Linked DNA regions of Stegostoma tigrinum. The protein of the gene in region 2 binds, or shares a complex with, the protein of the main gene of each other region. Links are inferred from orthologs where the notes say so. Each region holds a gene or a part of one and is shown on either strand. Other genes may lie near its edges.

Evidence for each region.
Region 1: iqcd (region 2) and iqcg share a complex: the UniProt entries of both Homo sapiens proteins name them as parts of the nexin-dynein regulatory complex. The link is inferred for Stegostoma tigrinum from reciprocal best matches to the Homo sapiens genes DRC10 and DRC9.

The regions. Positions count from the first base shown.
Region 1 is NC_081367.1:48,502,445-48,510,362, reverse strand, and holds the start of iqcg (dynein regulatory complex protein 9), read right to left. Parts: upstream 3,029-7,918; 5' UTR 2,953-3,028; exon of another isoform or gene 2,931-2,952; intron 1-2,930. Other genes in the region: psmd1 (26S proteasome non-ATPase regulatory subunit 1), read left to right, coding at 3,349-3,364. UniProt on the Homo sapiens protein: Component of the nexin-dynein regulatory complex (N-DRC), a key regulator of ciliary/flagellar motility which maintains the alignment and integrity of the distal axoneme and regulates microtubule sliding in motile axonemes.
Region 2 is NC_081379.1:29,975,616-29,983,140, forward strand, and holds the start of iqcd (dynein regulatory complex protein 10), read right to left. Parts: upstream 3,071-7,525; 5' UTR 2,989-3,070; intron 1-2,988. Other genes in the region: tpcn1 (two pore channel protein 1), read left to right, coding at 3,304-3,406. UniProt on the Homo sapiens protein: Component of the nexin-dynein regulatory complex (N-DRC), a key regulator of ciliary/flagellar motility which maintains the alignment and integrity of the distal axoneme and regulates microtubule sliding in motile axonemes.

The DNA of each region.
Region 1 (7,918 bases), on a different chromosome or scaffold from region 2:
ACCAAACAACTACAATTTTCAAGTCCAGCAACATTCTCATTAATTTCATCACACCTCTTTAATACAATCATGTGGTGACCAAAACTAGAGTTGGGGCCTAATGAGATTTTACACAGTTTCTGTGTAAGCTTCCAGCTCTTACTATACACCTTAGTTTATAACACAGGAGTAATAAATAGAATCTGGGAGCTCTAAGATGTATGTGCATGCACAGCCAGAACTACGCTCTGCAATCACCGCTTAGCACACCAATCCAGATTGGAGCATTAACTTCTGGTACAAGAATTTGCTGTAGTGCATGGACTGCTGAGGTCTGCATGGAACAGACTCTGAATTTTCAAAATGATAATTTTTCAAAAAAAAGTAAACATTTTTAAATGAGAATAATTACCTGTATCACTGGAACGACAACACTAAATTTTAAATAATATCACCACAAAGATGATTGATCTTGGTCTCCTGCTGAGTTTAAGGATTGCAGCTTCTAGTCTTTAGGACAGTTCTTTCACAAGACGTGCCCTGATAATATTCTAGCACTATTCCTGAAGGCCTCCTGCAGTGCCACAATGATGCCACCCGAAGGTTGCAGAAACAGCAACTCATTTCACAATGAGTGAAAACAGCAGGCCAAACAGCATCTTAGAACAGGAAGGTTGACCTTTTGGGCCTAGACCCTTCAGAAATCGGGGAGGGGAAGACAGTTCTGAAATAAAAAGGGACAGAGGGGGAGGCAGATTGAAGATGGATAGAGGAGAAGATAGGTGCAGAGGAGACAAACAAGTTAAAGAGACGGGGATGGAGCCAGTGGGGGTGAGTGTAGGTGGGGAGGTAGGGAGGAGATAGGTCAGTCCAGGGAGGACAGACAGGTCAAGGGGGTGGGATGAGGTTAGTAGGTAGGAAATGGAGGTGTGGCTTGAGGTGGGAGGAGAGGATAGGTGAGAGGAAGAACAAGTTAGGGAGGTGGGGAAGAGTTTGGCTGAGTTTGGGATGCGGTGGGGGGAGGGCAGATTTTGAAGCTTGTGAAGTCCACATTGATACCATTGGGCTGCAGGGTTCCCAAGCGGAATATGAGTTGCTGTTCCTGCAACCTGCGGGTGGCATCATTGTGGCACTGCAGGAGGCCCAGGATGGACATGTCGTCTGAGGAATGGTGGGTGTGATGAAGCTGGAGGGGTGTGTGAAGCGGACAAGAGTGTCACGGAGAGAATGGTCCCTCCGGAAAGCAGACAAGGGTGGGGAGGGAAAAACGTCTTTGGTGGTGGGGTCGGCTTGCAGATGGTGGAAGTGTGGGAGGATGATGCGTTGGACTTGCACATCCGCTAATGTGGTATACTGCATCTGCTGTACCCGTTGTGGCGTCCTCTACATTGGGGAAACCAAGCAGAGGCTCAGGGACTGCTTTGCAGAACACCTATGCTCGGTTCGCAATAAACAGCTGCACCTCCCAGTTGCAAAGCATTTCAACTCCCTCTCCTATTTCTCAGACGACATATCCATCCTGGGCCTCCTGCAATGCCACAACGCTGCCACCCAAAGGTTGCAGGAACAGCAACTCATTTCACAAGCTTCAAAATCTCTCTTTCCCCCCCCACCACATCCCAAAATCAGCCCAGCTCATTCCCACCTCCCTAACCTGTTCCTCTGCCCTATCCCCTCCTCCCACCTCAAGTTGCACCCCCATTTCCTACCTCCTAACTTTATCCCGCTCCCTTGACCTGTCCGTCCTCCCTGGACTGGCCTATCTCCTCCCTACCTCCCCACCTACACTCACCTTTACTGGCTCCGCCCCCGCCTCTTTAATTTGTTTGTCTCCTCTCCACCTATCTTCTCCTCTATCCATCTTCAATCTGCCTCCCCCTCTGTCCCTTTTTATTTCAGAACCCTCTTCCCCTCCCCCATTTCTGATGAAGGGTCTAGGCCCGAAACATCACCTTTCCTGTTCTTCAGATGCTGTTTGGCCTGCTGTGTTCATCCAGCTCCACACCTTGTTATCTCCGATTCTCCAGCATCTGCAGTTCCTATTATCTTGAATATTACTGAAGACTTGTGCACCAGAATTTGCTGCACCCTAACTAAGATGGTCAAGTAAATCTATACGATAATGTTGGAAATTGCATAAGTATGTCCTGCTCACAAAACGCAGCCCAAATCCAACCTGTCCAATTACTGCTCCATCGACTCTCAATCAGCAAAGTTAAGGAAGGGGTCAGTGACAGTGCTGTCAAGCAGAACCTACATGACAATAACCTCTGCACTGATATTCAGTTCAAATTCCATCAAGACCACTCCATTCGTGATCTCATTAGAGCCATGGGCCAAACACTGATAAAACAGCAGAATTCCAGAGATGATGTGAGAGTGACTGTCGTTATTACAAGGCAGCACTTGACTGAAACTGCCATCAAGGAGTGCTAGCCAAACTTGAGTCAATGGAAATCAGGAAAAGAATGCTAGCAAGACTACAGTCAATGGAAATCAGGAGAAAACTCTCCATTGGTTACAGTGATATGTATCACAAAGGAAGAGGTTTGTGATTGTTGGAGATCAATTAGCTCAGCACTAGGAAATCAATGCTGAAACTCCTCAGGGTGGTGTCCTAAGCACAATCATGTTCAGCAGCTTCGTTACCAAGGCAGTGCTGTTGCCTGCGCCAATATGAATATGCTTCCATTTGAGGAGTGTGCATTTTCATTCAAGTGATTTTAGATCAGAACTTCTTGCAGCTATCCGATAGCTTTCACATTCACAGGATGTCCCGAAACGCTTTATATGGGATATCGTTTGAAGCCCAGCCACTTCTGCAATGTAGGAAACACAGCAGCCAATTCATACACAGCAAGCTTCCCCAAACAACAGTTAAGCAATCGGATAAATGTTTCAATAATGTAACCTTTAGCAAATAGTGTTTAACTATGCCAGAACTATTTTACCATGGTATTTCCCGCGGTCTACCTGAATCTGTATTAAATTTCGTGCCCTCAATCAATGCAACCACTGGGTGAATCAGCATCTCCTGGGCAACCTGGGCCCCAACTACCGAGCTGGCTAAACTACTGCCTGTCATTTAGTCGGGGATGGGCATGGTTTTAAAAGGTACTAGGGAAACAGTTATTTTTCAATTTAAAACAAATCCATAACAGTGTTTTTGTTTTAAATAATTCGTACCTCTTTTGAAGCTATTGGTTATTGTTCGAGAAGCAGGCGCGTGGAGGGGCGGGTGGTACGAGGACCTCTCCAGCCTGAACTGCGCGGAGGGATTTTGTGAACATCACTGAGTCAGTGCGGTGGTACTGAGATCGAGACCAGGACCGGGAAACAGCGAGGGATTGCCCCTCTTTCACCGACATCATGATTACCTCGGCCGGTGAGTCCCTCAGGCCTCGTTTCCAGTCACCACCAGAACCGGATGAAACTAATTGCTCTCCAGCTGGGCCTCTGCCTGTCGGTTCCCACCATCCATTGAACCCCTCCGACGTGTGGTTTCTGGGCCTTGTCCCGGTCCTTTCCTGAAACCGAGCAGCTGAGTCACTGAGGCCTGCGAGTAGCTGCTAAGGGTCCCTTTCGCTCCCCAGCGATCATCGCCAGGCTTCACTGATCTTCGGCTGTTGAACTGTCATGTCGAAAAGTTCTGTGCGTAGGAAAGTATGACTTTCTCTAGGAGTTTGAGTGTAATAGAAGCACCTGGAATACTCCATGTCCCTAAAGTTACACCAGTATCATTGAGATACGTGTGTTGTTGATACTGGGTCGACAAGCACAAGGTTCTTTTGAGTTTATGTTGCGCGGCCAATAAATCCAGGACAGTGACAACTTATGTGCAGGCAGACATAAAATGGTGTGAAGATAGACGTGAACTGTCATTACACTCTTAAATCGACAGCAATATCATAAATGGATGATTATTCCTAAATTAAAGTCAACAGGAGAGTGCTGTAACAAGGGTGGACTAATAATGCAGTGTTAGTGGAGTGATTAGGGGTGAGTGCAAGAACTTGTATTTATTTAACAAAGCAATTGTTCAAAGAAAGAACTTAGAGGGGAGATGGCAGTCTTATAAAGCATCTAATTGTATAATCATTCATAGTGGGGCAGGAAGGAACAAACTGTTCAACATAGAAAAACAGTAAATAGGGTCTAAGATAGAAAATGGTAAAAAGGCAAAATCGATGCTCTTTACTTGAATGTATGTTTGGAACAATATGAATAAAGGCATAATTACAGGTTAATGGTTGTGGTCTTATAGTCATTATGGAGATGTGGTTCCATAGAGGGAGAACCTGGCCACTAAATATTGAAGAGTATGTGACTTTTCAAAAGGATAAGCAGGAAGGAAGGGGTGAATGGATAGTATTGTTCATACAGGATGGAATAAGTATGAAAGCAAGAAATGACCTTGATTTGGAAGACATAGAATCCAAATGGGTGGAGGTCAAAAGTAGAAAGGTGAAGCAGATACTACTAAGAGTAGCCTTATAGGGTCCTTAACAGTAACTATATGTCAGGATCGATAATAAAGCAGGAGATAATGAGGGATTGTTTAAAAAAACTGTAAATTAATTGTGAGTAACTTTAATTTTCTTGTTGATTATGATAGTCAGATCAGCAGAAATAACCGTAAAGAAGAATTCATAGCATGTATTTGGGACAATTTACCTGGAGTATATTGTAGATCTAAACAGGGATCAGGCTGTTTTGAATCTGGTGATGTGAATGAGAAAGGTTTAAAAAATGTCAATATAAAGGATCCCTTTGAAAGCAGTGACTGTAACATGGTAGAGTTTAGCATTTAGTTTGGGAGAAGCTTATTACAAAACCAATTATGCTAAATTTTAATAAGGGTAGTTATAAAGCAATGAAGGCACAGCTAGATGGAGTGGGTTGGGAAAGCAATTTAGTGGCAAAGACAGTTGAACAATAGCAGACTTTTAAGAAAATGGTTCATCGCTCACAACAAAGATATAACCCAATGATAAAGAAGGATTCTATGCAGGTAGTGAGCAGGCAATGGTTAAACAGGGAGCTTAAAGATAGCATCAAAGTGAAAGGAAAAAACAGAGTGGCAAGGAGTAGTGGTAAACAGAGTCAGAGTCATAGCTCTCTGATGAAGGGTCTAGGCCCGAAACGTCAGCTTTTGTGCTCCTGAGATGCTGCTTGGCCTGCTGTGTTCATCCAGCCTCACATTTTATTATCTCAGAGTCATAGCCACCTGCTTGGCCCTGACCCATAACCCTTTTTATTCATGAACTTATCCAATGTATTTTAAATGTCGTAACTGTTCCTGCATCCACCATTTTCTCTGACAGTTGATTTCATACACAAATCACTCTGCAAAAAAAAGTTGGCCCTCAAACTTTTTAAAACATTCTCCTCTAAGGTTTTTAAAACCAGCAAAAGCAACACAAAAAAGCGAGACAATTAACTTTGAAGGTAAAATTGTAAATAATATCAAGATGGACAGCAAGAGTTTCTTTAAGTATATGAGAAGGAAGAGAGGGGCTGAAGTAAACATAGGCCCTTTTAGAGAATGAGTCCTTAGGTTTTGGAAAAGACCATAAATTTATTAGAATTCTTTGAACTGGTAACAACCGGAACAATTAAAGGGAAACAGTGGATTTAATGTGTTTGAATTTTTAGAGGGTTCCACACATTTGATGCAAATCTATGGGGGTGGTGTATTAGCATGGATAAAGAGTTTTCTAGACATGGGGGCATTTTCAGAATGGCAATGTTTAATTATTGGAGTGTCACAGATGAATGCTGGATCAACAATTTTTTACAATATATGCTGGTGACTTGGATGAGGAAAGTGAATTTGTAATAGCCAAGTCTGTGTATAACACAAATAGGTGGAAATGCAAGTGGTGTGGATTTCACAGTCTGCAAAGACATATAGATAGATTAATGTTGTGGGCGCAAGGAATGTAATGAGGGATAATGTGAGGTTATGCACTTTGGCAGCAAGAATAGAGAGGCTGAATATGTTTTAAATGGAGAAAGACTGCAAAAAGCCACTACAGCATAGGGATTTGGTAACCTTTGTGCATAAATCGCAAGAAGCTGGCATCCAAGCTCAGGTAGTAGGGAAGGCAAATGGAATTTTGGCCTTTTATTTTAAGAGGAATGGAGTGTAAAAATAGGAAAGCCTTATTAATTTACAAGGCATAGTCAGATTACAGCTGGAATACTGTAAATAGTTTTGATCCCCTTATCCAAAGAAAGATATACTAGCATTGAAAGCAATTGAGAGGTTTACAAGGTTGATCCTAGCTAGGGAGAAACTGTCTGATGAGAAGATATTGAGTACTTTGGCTCTGTCCTCATTGGATTTCAGAAGATTAAGAGGTGATCTTGTTGATGCATACATGATTCTGAGAGAACTTGACAGAGTAGATACGGAAAAGTTGTTTCCCCTTACCGAAGAGTCTAACACTGTAGGGTGTAATCTCAGTATGCGAGTTGCCAGTTAGGACAGAGATAAGGAGGAAATTATTCTTAGAAGGTAATGAATCTGTGGAATTCTTCACAGCTAGAATGCTTCCAAGGCCAAGTCATTAAGTGTATTTGCGGCTAAGACAGATATTTTATTATGTGAGGGAGTATGGGGTTATGGTGGAAAGGCAGGAAAGTGTTGTTCGGGGCTATCAACCATGATCTCTTTGCATTGTAGAGCAGACTCAATGGGCTGAATGGCTTACTTCTCCGTTAATGTTTTATGGCTTTCTATTTTTATGAGCAGTGGGCCACAGATGAGCATTGACAGAGAATTTTAGGCAAGAACCGTAAGTTGGCAATAGGAAAGACTAAGGGGTTTAAAGAAAGAGCTGCACACAATTAAGGCTGAGTGTCAATGGTAATGGTTAAGAGTACTGGCGAAAGTGTAAATGAGAAGATGCATGCTGGAAATGACAGCTAATCAAGCAGCATCCATGGGGAGAGAGCAAACTCATGTTTCGCGTCTAAATGACACTTCTTCAGAGCTGGTGAAGAGTCTTCTAGACTCGATGTTAGTTTTCCCCCTCCCCCTCTCTACACTGTGATTTTCAGCAATTTTTGTTTTCAGTGCAGATTCCAGCATCTGCAATAATTTGCTTGTACATATGTAGGGAGAGTTGAGGAACTGAAGAGTATGGAAGTCTGTTGGGGTTTGAAAGCCAGCTCACAATTTAGAGGTTAATGCAGTGATGGGTTGAGAACCTATGTCGGACAGTAAAGACTAATGTAATGGATGAATGGAATTTAATGGTTGAAAAGATTTGGTGTTCTGGTTTTGGAGCATTTCAAATTTTTGAAGAGACCAGCAATCATAAAGTTGGTAAAATTGTATTGTTGGCAATTGTAAAGAAAAGTTTTGAATTAGATTTCAGCTGTGTAGGAGCTGATCTCAGGAAGGGAATTTTGCAGGAGAGCAATGGATAGTCGTAATGTCAACAGAATAGTAATCCAGAGTTTGAAGTTCATGTTCTGGGGACAAGGTTTTAAATCTCTGGCAGATTTGGATTTAGTTAATAAAAATCTAGAATAAAAATTTGTCTTTTGTGACCATTGCTTCTGAAACTCCTGTTCTGCTCATTAATGAGGGAAGGAAATTTTCTAATCTCTCTAATGAAGGAAATCTGCTATCTTTACCTGATCTGACCTACTTGTGACTCTCGCCCACATCAATGTGGATGACTCTTAACTGCCTGATGGTGTCGATGGGGAAGCGGTTCAGTATTTTGACTGAGTTACAATGAAGGAACAGTGATATAATTCCATTTATCCAAGAAGATTGCAACAGGATTTTGGAAATGAATGATTGTACATTGTTAGTAATAAATCAGTTTGGAAAGATATAGGAACAAGAGTCTGCTGTTTAGATTCTTGAATCTATTCTGCAATTCCATTGGATTTTGGCTGACTGTAGCTCAACTTCTTTGGT
Region 2 (7,525 bases):
AATCGACTGTAATGTCTACCCTATCTGCTAATCAAAATTAAACATGATGTGTTCTTTCCTTCTATCATATATTTAGGAGAAACAATAGGTCAACTTTTTTTCTCCTTTAGACTTTAAAGACTTCAAGCATTGAACACCATTTTCACTTAAGACATCAGATGCTGGTAGTATTGACTAGCTATACAAGAACCTCACTGATTAAAGGAGATCCAGTAATAGATGGTGCTTCAGGCAGGGATTCCCCCATCAGAACAGTATCAGCCACATGGCCGTCAGCCCTGAGATCAAAGTCTGAAGAAAGATGTAGTGGTTTTTGTTGAAGTTCATCCTGAGCAGCTCTGTGACACAGGACCACGTGCTCTAAGGTCTGTTCTCCAGGACGTACACCATGACTGCACTTGGAGGACCATCAAATTGGTGAAAAATGCTGTTTGTTCTGCTCAAAACTTGTTGGTCTTCTAGAACAAAGAGTTGACCTCAACTGAGTGTTGCAGACGGGCACATTTCAAGGTCTGGGACTATGTAGTGAGGGATGCACTAAAGTTTGGGGCAGCTGTTGCCAAGGCACAGTGGGAAAGACCACTGTCTGAGGTCCAAATGCCAAAGTTAAATTGGGGTCAGTTCAGTTATTGGACCCTCCTAGTGCCTCAAATGCTTCTATGGTTAATCATTAATATAAACAATAAACAGGATTTTAAATTAGCAATGTTGGTTAAGTGGTAAACATTAGGTAGTTAAACCACCCCAGTTCTTCTTCATATCAATGCCATGGGTTTTTCCTTTGTTAACATGACTGAGTAGATAGACCTCAGTTCAGCAATGTATATGAAAGACAGTACCTTTGGCAATGCAATGCAGTACTATATTAGATGGCAATTTTAGATTACATGCTTAAATCTCAAGTGGGACTTGAACCCACAATTTCTGACTTTGAGACGAGTATTACCAATATACCGCATTTAAATTGCAACATTGGCAGAAGAGACTTGATCTATAAATTTTATAAAATTATGTTAAAAAAAATCAGAGGATGCACTGCATGAGGTTGATGTGGATAACATATATTGATAGCATTTATTAAGATTTTATATTAATATGTAGGAGTGATACATTAGTATACTTCAAAAACAGAGGTAGTTTATAATAAAGTGAACTGTAATAAATCATATCAGTTCACATTATTAAAATAGTTTAGAATATATAGTAACACACTTCTGATTTTTGTTTAAACAGTTTTTCCTCTTTACACCCTCCATAAACTTGAGTTCATTCAAAACATCCTTGTCCTAACTTGCACGAAGTCCTGTTCATGTATCATTCCTGTGCTCACACATGCACATTGGTTCCTGGACCAGAAATGCTTCAATTTGAAGTCTCGTTCAACAACAAACACAGAGAATGCTGGAGAAACTCAGCACGTCTGGCAGCAAATGTGACATTCTCTGTATTTGCTTCAGATTCCCAGCAATTTTGCCTTTATTTAAGTGAAAATTCTCATTCTTGTGTTCAATCCCATCACTACTGCATTGCATTCTTTAGCCTTACAACCCTTTAATATTTCTGTACTCCTATAGTTCTGGTCTCTTGCACAGGCATGATATTCATCGCTCAACAAATGGTGCTTTTGCCTTTAGCCATGACTTTCCTCCCTCCTTGCCTGTCTCTTTCCTCCTTTTAATTAGATCCTTAATACCATTTGTCCCAGCATCTCCTTGTGTGGCTCAGTGTCAAATCTGTCTGATTGCTTTCCTGAAAAACACATTCCAAAGCTAAGCACTAACCTCCTCATTTGCTGAGTTTAGGGTGATAAGGCTGCCACTTAGTTTGTAAAGTTGACACTTGTCAGTAATGTGCAGGTTTATTTATATCTTTGTCAAATGTACTATCATATATAAATGTAAATTATATTTTTTTCATAAATGCTTAATTTCACAGAAACATTCTCCCACTGAAGTACATTAAACACCCATAAGTTGATTTCCACAAAGAATTATGATCACAGTTGCTATTTGAAAAATGATCAAAAAATCAGGAGGATAAGGGTTTTTAATACTTGAGCGAGGTATTTAGTGTTGATTTTCAGATCAAAACAATATATTATGTTCAATTTTCTAGCTGTAGCACATGGGTTGCAGCAGTTCAAGAAAGCAGTTCACCACCACCTTCCTGAAATCAACAAGAGAGAGGCAATAAATACTGGTCCAGCCAGTGATGTCCATATTTCACGAATTAATTTAAAAGTTACTTTACAATCACTAACTATAAAAAAGAATATATGCTGTGGATGGCTACCTGGAACTGAGTCAGAAGTCTCTCAGACCTAGTGCAGTCAACTTGATAAGTCATAATTAATGCCCTGGTGTTACGTTGATATGGGCTGCCTCAGATGACAGACTGAAGGGACAATAAGGATCCAAGGATCAAGAGGATACCTTGGAGTTTACTGATTCCCGAGACCATAAGGCCTAGCTCTCTAACAGGATGGACGAAAACTGTGGGTGGCTACTAATCTTCTCCAGGAATTCACAACAGCTCAAAAACATACCAATTCGGAGCCATTGGGCCCTTCAAACCTATCGCTGTTCTATAATGATCTGATTTGTTTATGTTTTGAATTCTACAGTTCCTTTTACTCGGATTACATTTGGATCCCTTGCCTAACAGGAATCGTAGTGATAGAGATTTTAACAGCGCAAAAAGGGCTCTTCGGTCCATCTTATCCGCGTCAGTCATCAAACATCCATCTATTCGGATTCCATTTTCCATCACTTGGCCAGTAAGTATTAAGGATTCCTGACTCTAGAAACCTGTCGGGCAGTGAGCTCCGGATACTTTCTGATTTCTCAAATATTCTGCCTGAGAATATTCAACCTCGTCCTGAGGCACAGAGACCGTTCGTCAGCTCGTTTTAACGGGATCCCCCCCGCCACCGCCGACCCCGGTGCTTTCGGGTTAAAGGGTTCCTCTGCCGCGAACGGACGCACTCACCTATCTCCGCCCTTCTGTTTGCCAGCGACGGTTACTCCGTTGCTAAGAGACGGACGACCTTTTCCCTCTGACTCGCTGGCCGCGCCGTCCACGTGGGAGGAGGCGGGTTTCACGCGAACCTGTTGGACGCCGCGCTTTTGATTGACGTTTCCTCTCGAGTGAGCCCGCCGGACCGACCGTCGGCCTGGACCAATCACCGACAAGGTGTGGATCAGGGTCCCGCCCTCTGCTCGCTCGTCCTTCCCGCCTCCCGCACACTCCCAGCGTCGTTCTTCGGCGGCGGCGACAGTTTGGGGTGTGGGGGTATACCGGACGATGGCGGTGACGCTGCCTGTCGACGATGATGTCCCTTTAATCTTGACAGACGACAGCACGGGGATCAGTGCCGACCCAGACAGAGAGGAAATCCCCAACGAAAGTAGGCAATATGATCGGTTATACTTTTCCATGTCAGAGCTTTCGGGTATGCAACTTTCTTGACCCCTGGTGGCTGTTAGCGCCACGATCTGCGTCTTTTTTTATTTGTCCGTTTATTCAGATCAAGTTGTCGGAGATTCTGCTCCGCGTGTTGATCACCTCAAAGAGGGCGAAAACTCACCGGAATCTGCTTTAGCGCCCCGGCAACCGACTGGCTTAGTTGTCAAACAGCAAATTAAAAACGTCTTTCTGGTTGCACTTGACAGTTCAGGTAGCATCTGCGGTGGACTGGTTACCCTTTGAGCACCATCAGCTTTCGACAGAGCTAATGTTGAAAGAAGATGAATACCTCAACAAAGTTAACCATTCTTTGCCATTGAATTAGATTATTGAAAAGAAGGTCCATTTGGACCTTTTGGCCCATCTTGCTTGTGCTGGCTCTTTGAAAGCCTTGCAAAATCTGGCCCTTCAAGTCTGAAAGCCATAATTAAATCTGTTTCCTCTGCTTTGCAATGCGTTCCAGATCATGACTTAGTTTTCCAGAATGTTACTTTCTTCAGTGCTGAATTAAATAATAAGAATGAGACTACTGCAGTTTCTGTTACTTTGCAGCTGTTTCAGCGTCGTTTGTGTTGTTAGGCTTTGTAATTTAACGGGCTAGAGAGGACAGCTCTCTCTTTTATTTAGTAATAAAATCAGATTACAACTCTGACTTTGATCTTCCAGTGCTTATTTGCAAACCCTATACTTTTACCTATATAAAACCAATTGCTATCAATCATTAGCTATCCTTGGGGCAAAGGGATTTCAGAATCCTGAAGGATATTGAGGCCAATTGTATTTTTTTCCAATGAAGTCGTATTCCTTTCTTAGTGTATGCCTGGCAGAGCTTCACTGGAAATATTCTTGGTGTTGCAATTTCTTCCTCATAGCTGTGAATCTGATTTTTCTGCTTTTAATAACTTGAGTGTCCTTTCTCTCGGTGCCATGGTGGTTAGAGTACAAAGTTTTGTAGAAATTTATGATTGTATTTTATAAATAGGAGAAAAGTATAACATTCTCAAATGCAGGTTGATAAAGAAATTGCAACAACAACTGCATTTTTACTTTTTTTTCATGAGATATGGACATTGCTAGCTAGGGTAGCATTTATGTCTCCCTCAATTCCCTTGCAAAGGTGTTGACTGCCTTCTTGATATGCTGCACTCTGTGTGGCGCACTCCATGTGGTGTAGGTACACTCACAATGTGGGATTTTGACACAGTGACAGTGAAGAAATGTCAATATAATTCCAAGTCAGAAACATCACACCTTTAATGCAATAAAACCTCTCAAGGCACTGCATAGGAGGAATTATACATGTTATCCCTGCGGTTCAACCTTGAGAAGTTTGCTGTCTGTTCATCTGTATCCTCACTATCTAAACATTAAATGTAAACTCTCAACTTTGATTTCCATTCAAATATGTACAGCTTTACGATTAGTCATATTAATTTACATGTGCTACCTATTTGCCCACTCCATGAATAAGTTTTTTTTTGTCTTTCTGAACAACAGCATTTCACAACTTCTTCGTGTTCTTAATCTAAAAAATATCACCAGCCTGTTCACAGAAGGATAATAAGACAAACACTAACACTAAATCAGCAGATGTGTGACTAAAATGCTTGGTCAAAGAGATACCTTAATTTTGAAGAGGAACTAATACATTTAGGAATTTAATACCATAGTATTCAGCCTAGACACCAGATGGTGCAGTTACCAGTGTTGGGGCAAAGGGATTTCAGAATCCTGAAGGATATTGAGGTGAAGAGATACAGTCCTCTTTAGAGGGCTTTATAATTACAGGAGGCAAGAGAAATATGAAAAAAAGTCAGGGAAGGATTTAATCACAAGGGTAGGAATGTTGAGTTTGAAACATTTGAGGTACCAGAAGCCAATATAAGTAAGAGAGCACAGAGATGCTATGTGAATGGGGTTTGGAGCAAACTGGAATATGGGCAGAATACTTGCAGTTCTTGCTAAATTTGTTTGACATCTGCATATTTGGAAACCTTTCTTGTTGCTGAGTGTAAAGAATTAATATGTACTGAGAACAAAAGTGGACCTAACATGCACTCCAGGCTATAGTACTTCCAACTATTTTATCCAAGCAACAGCTAATTACTCCAACTCATTACTTATTGTTCTTAATCCATCATTCTGTTTATATTGTTTCACTTTTTAAACCATTTACCTGGCAGTTCTTGCACACAATGGTAGTATCTCTATCTCTGTGCCAGAATCTCCAGGTTGCAGTCCACCTCCAGATTTGATGACCATGAAAGTTTTGTCTTACATGGTCAAACAGGTAAATTATCAATCTGCAAAGCCTTCTGATATGTTCTGGCATGGAGAAAAAGTGGGAGAGTTTCATGGTCAGCAAACATTGTATGGTAGGTCCAATGCAATGTTCCCCCATGTTAAAAGAGTCCATGCTCAGGTTTTTGCCATGAGCAAGTATTAATCGTGTTATGAGTGACTGCGCACAAACACACGTGCTTTACATCCGAATCTTTCTAGCATTCTTTCTTAAAACCTCTGAAATTCCGTATTTATACATCTATGGCATTCCTTTTTCCCTATCCAGTCTGTAACCACTTTGAAAAGACTGTATGAAATACATTTGTCAAAGATTATTTGCCTTCAAATCATTTTTAATGGTCAGTAGTTTTATTTCAAATTATCGATTTGTCTGTTTTTTTTATGCATGATGTTGCCCTTATGCTTCTGCCCTGTAGTTGTCTCTTTCTTCTGTCTTAAACAACATTCTTTTCCACATCAGAATTTGTCTTCTAAAGAATTGGAAAAGTTATAATTGTAGTCTCTAAATCCTGCTCAGAACAGTTCCAGCAATCTAGGGTGAATGCCATTTGATCCTGATGTCTTATCCATTTTGAGTCTTGGTTTTCCTTTCCATTTTTTGTGCCCCTGTGATGAATTTGTCCTCAGTTCCATCATTTTGGTAAAATAAAATCGATTCAATATACTTATTTAATGGCCCACAATTTTCCAGAGTGTAGCATCTAATGGCAGGCCCCCTTTGGTTAGACGTTTTCCCAGACTTTTAATTTTGAAAAATACTTAGATATAAATTGCTGTAAGAGTGGAATGACAAAGGCAACAGGGGCATTAATTGAACAACGGAACTAACAACAAAAACAGAATTTGCTAGCAAAGCTTCGCAGGTCAGGCAGCATTTGTGAAGAAAAAATCGAGTTGATGTTTCAGGTCCATTGACCCTTCCTCAGAACCAACAGTCTATTTCCATAAGCCATAAGACTTAATGATTGAGAAAGAAACAGCATTAAAGAAAGAAAGTAGTATTAATTAAACTTGCATTGGATATAGAAATAGAAATGAAGAGAAAAGATAGAAAGGAAGCAGAAAAGAAAAAACTTTTAAAAATCTTTAGCACTAATTTACCATCTGCAAAAGTGAGACTGTACAGTTTAGTTTTCCCTGTCTTATTGTATAGTTCAGTGCAGGATCATATATCTCATCATTGAAAAAGTAGATATTCTGTTACTTCCTGACCAAATATCTTGCAGCAAATTTCTTTGGCAATTAATGTCAAATTCCACAAGTTTTCAGATTTTTGAGATTAGCCCTTCAGAAAACTGTGATATCTCTTATTGAATTCTTTGAAGAGGTGACCAAACACGTGGATGAAGGTAGGGCAGTGGAGGCAGTATACACAGATTTAAGTAAGGCGTTAGATAAGGTTCCCCATGTAGGCTCATGCAGTAAGTATGGAGGCATGGGATAGGGAGAAAAGTAGCAGATTGGATTCGGAATTGGCTGACTCTTAGAAGACAAAGGGTGGTAGTGGATGGAAAATATTCAACGTGGTGCTCAGTTATGAGTGGTGTACCACAAGGATCCGTTCTAGGTCCTCTTCTATTTGTGATTTGTAAATGATTGGATGTAGGAGTGTAAGGGTGGATTAGTAAGTTTGCAGACAGTATGAAGGTGGATCGAGTCATGGATAGTGCGGAGGGCTGTTCTAGGTTGCAAAGGGACATTGATACGATGCAGACCAAGCAGCATCTTAGGAGCACACTTTCTTCCACCCACCTTC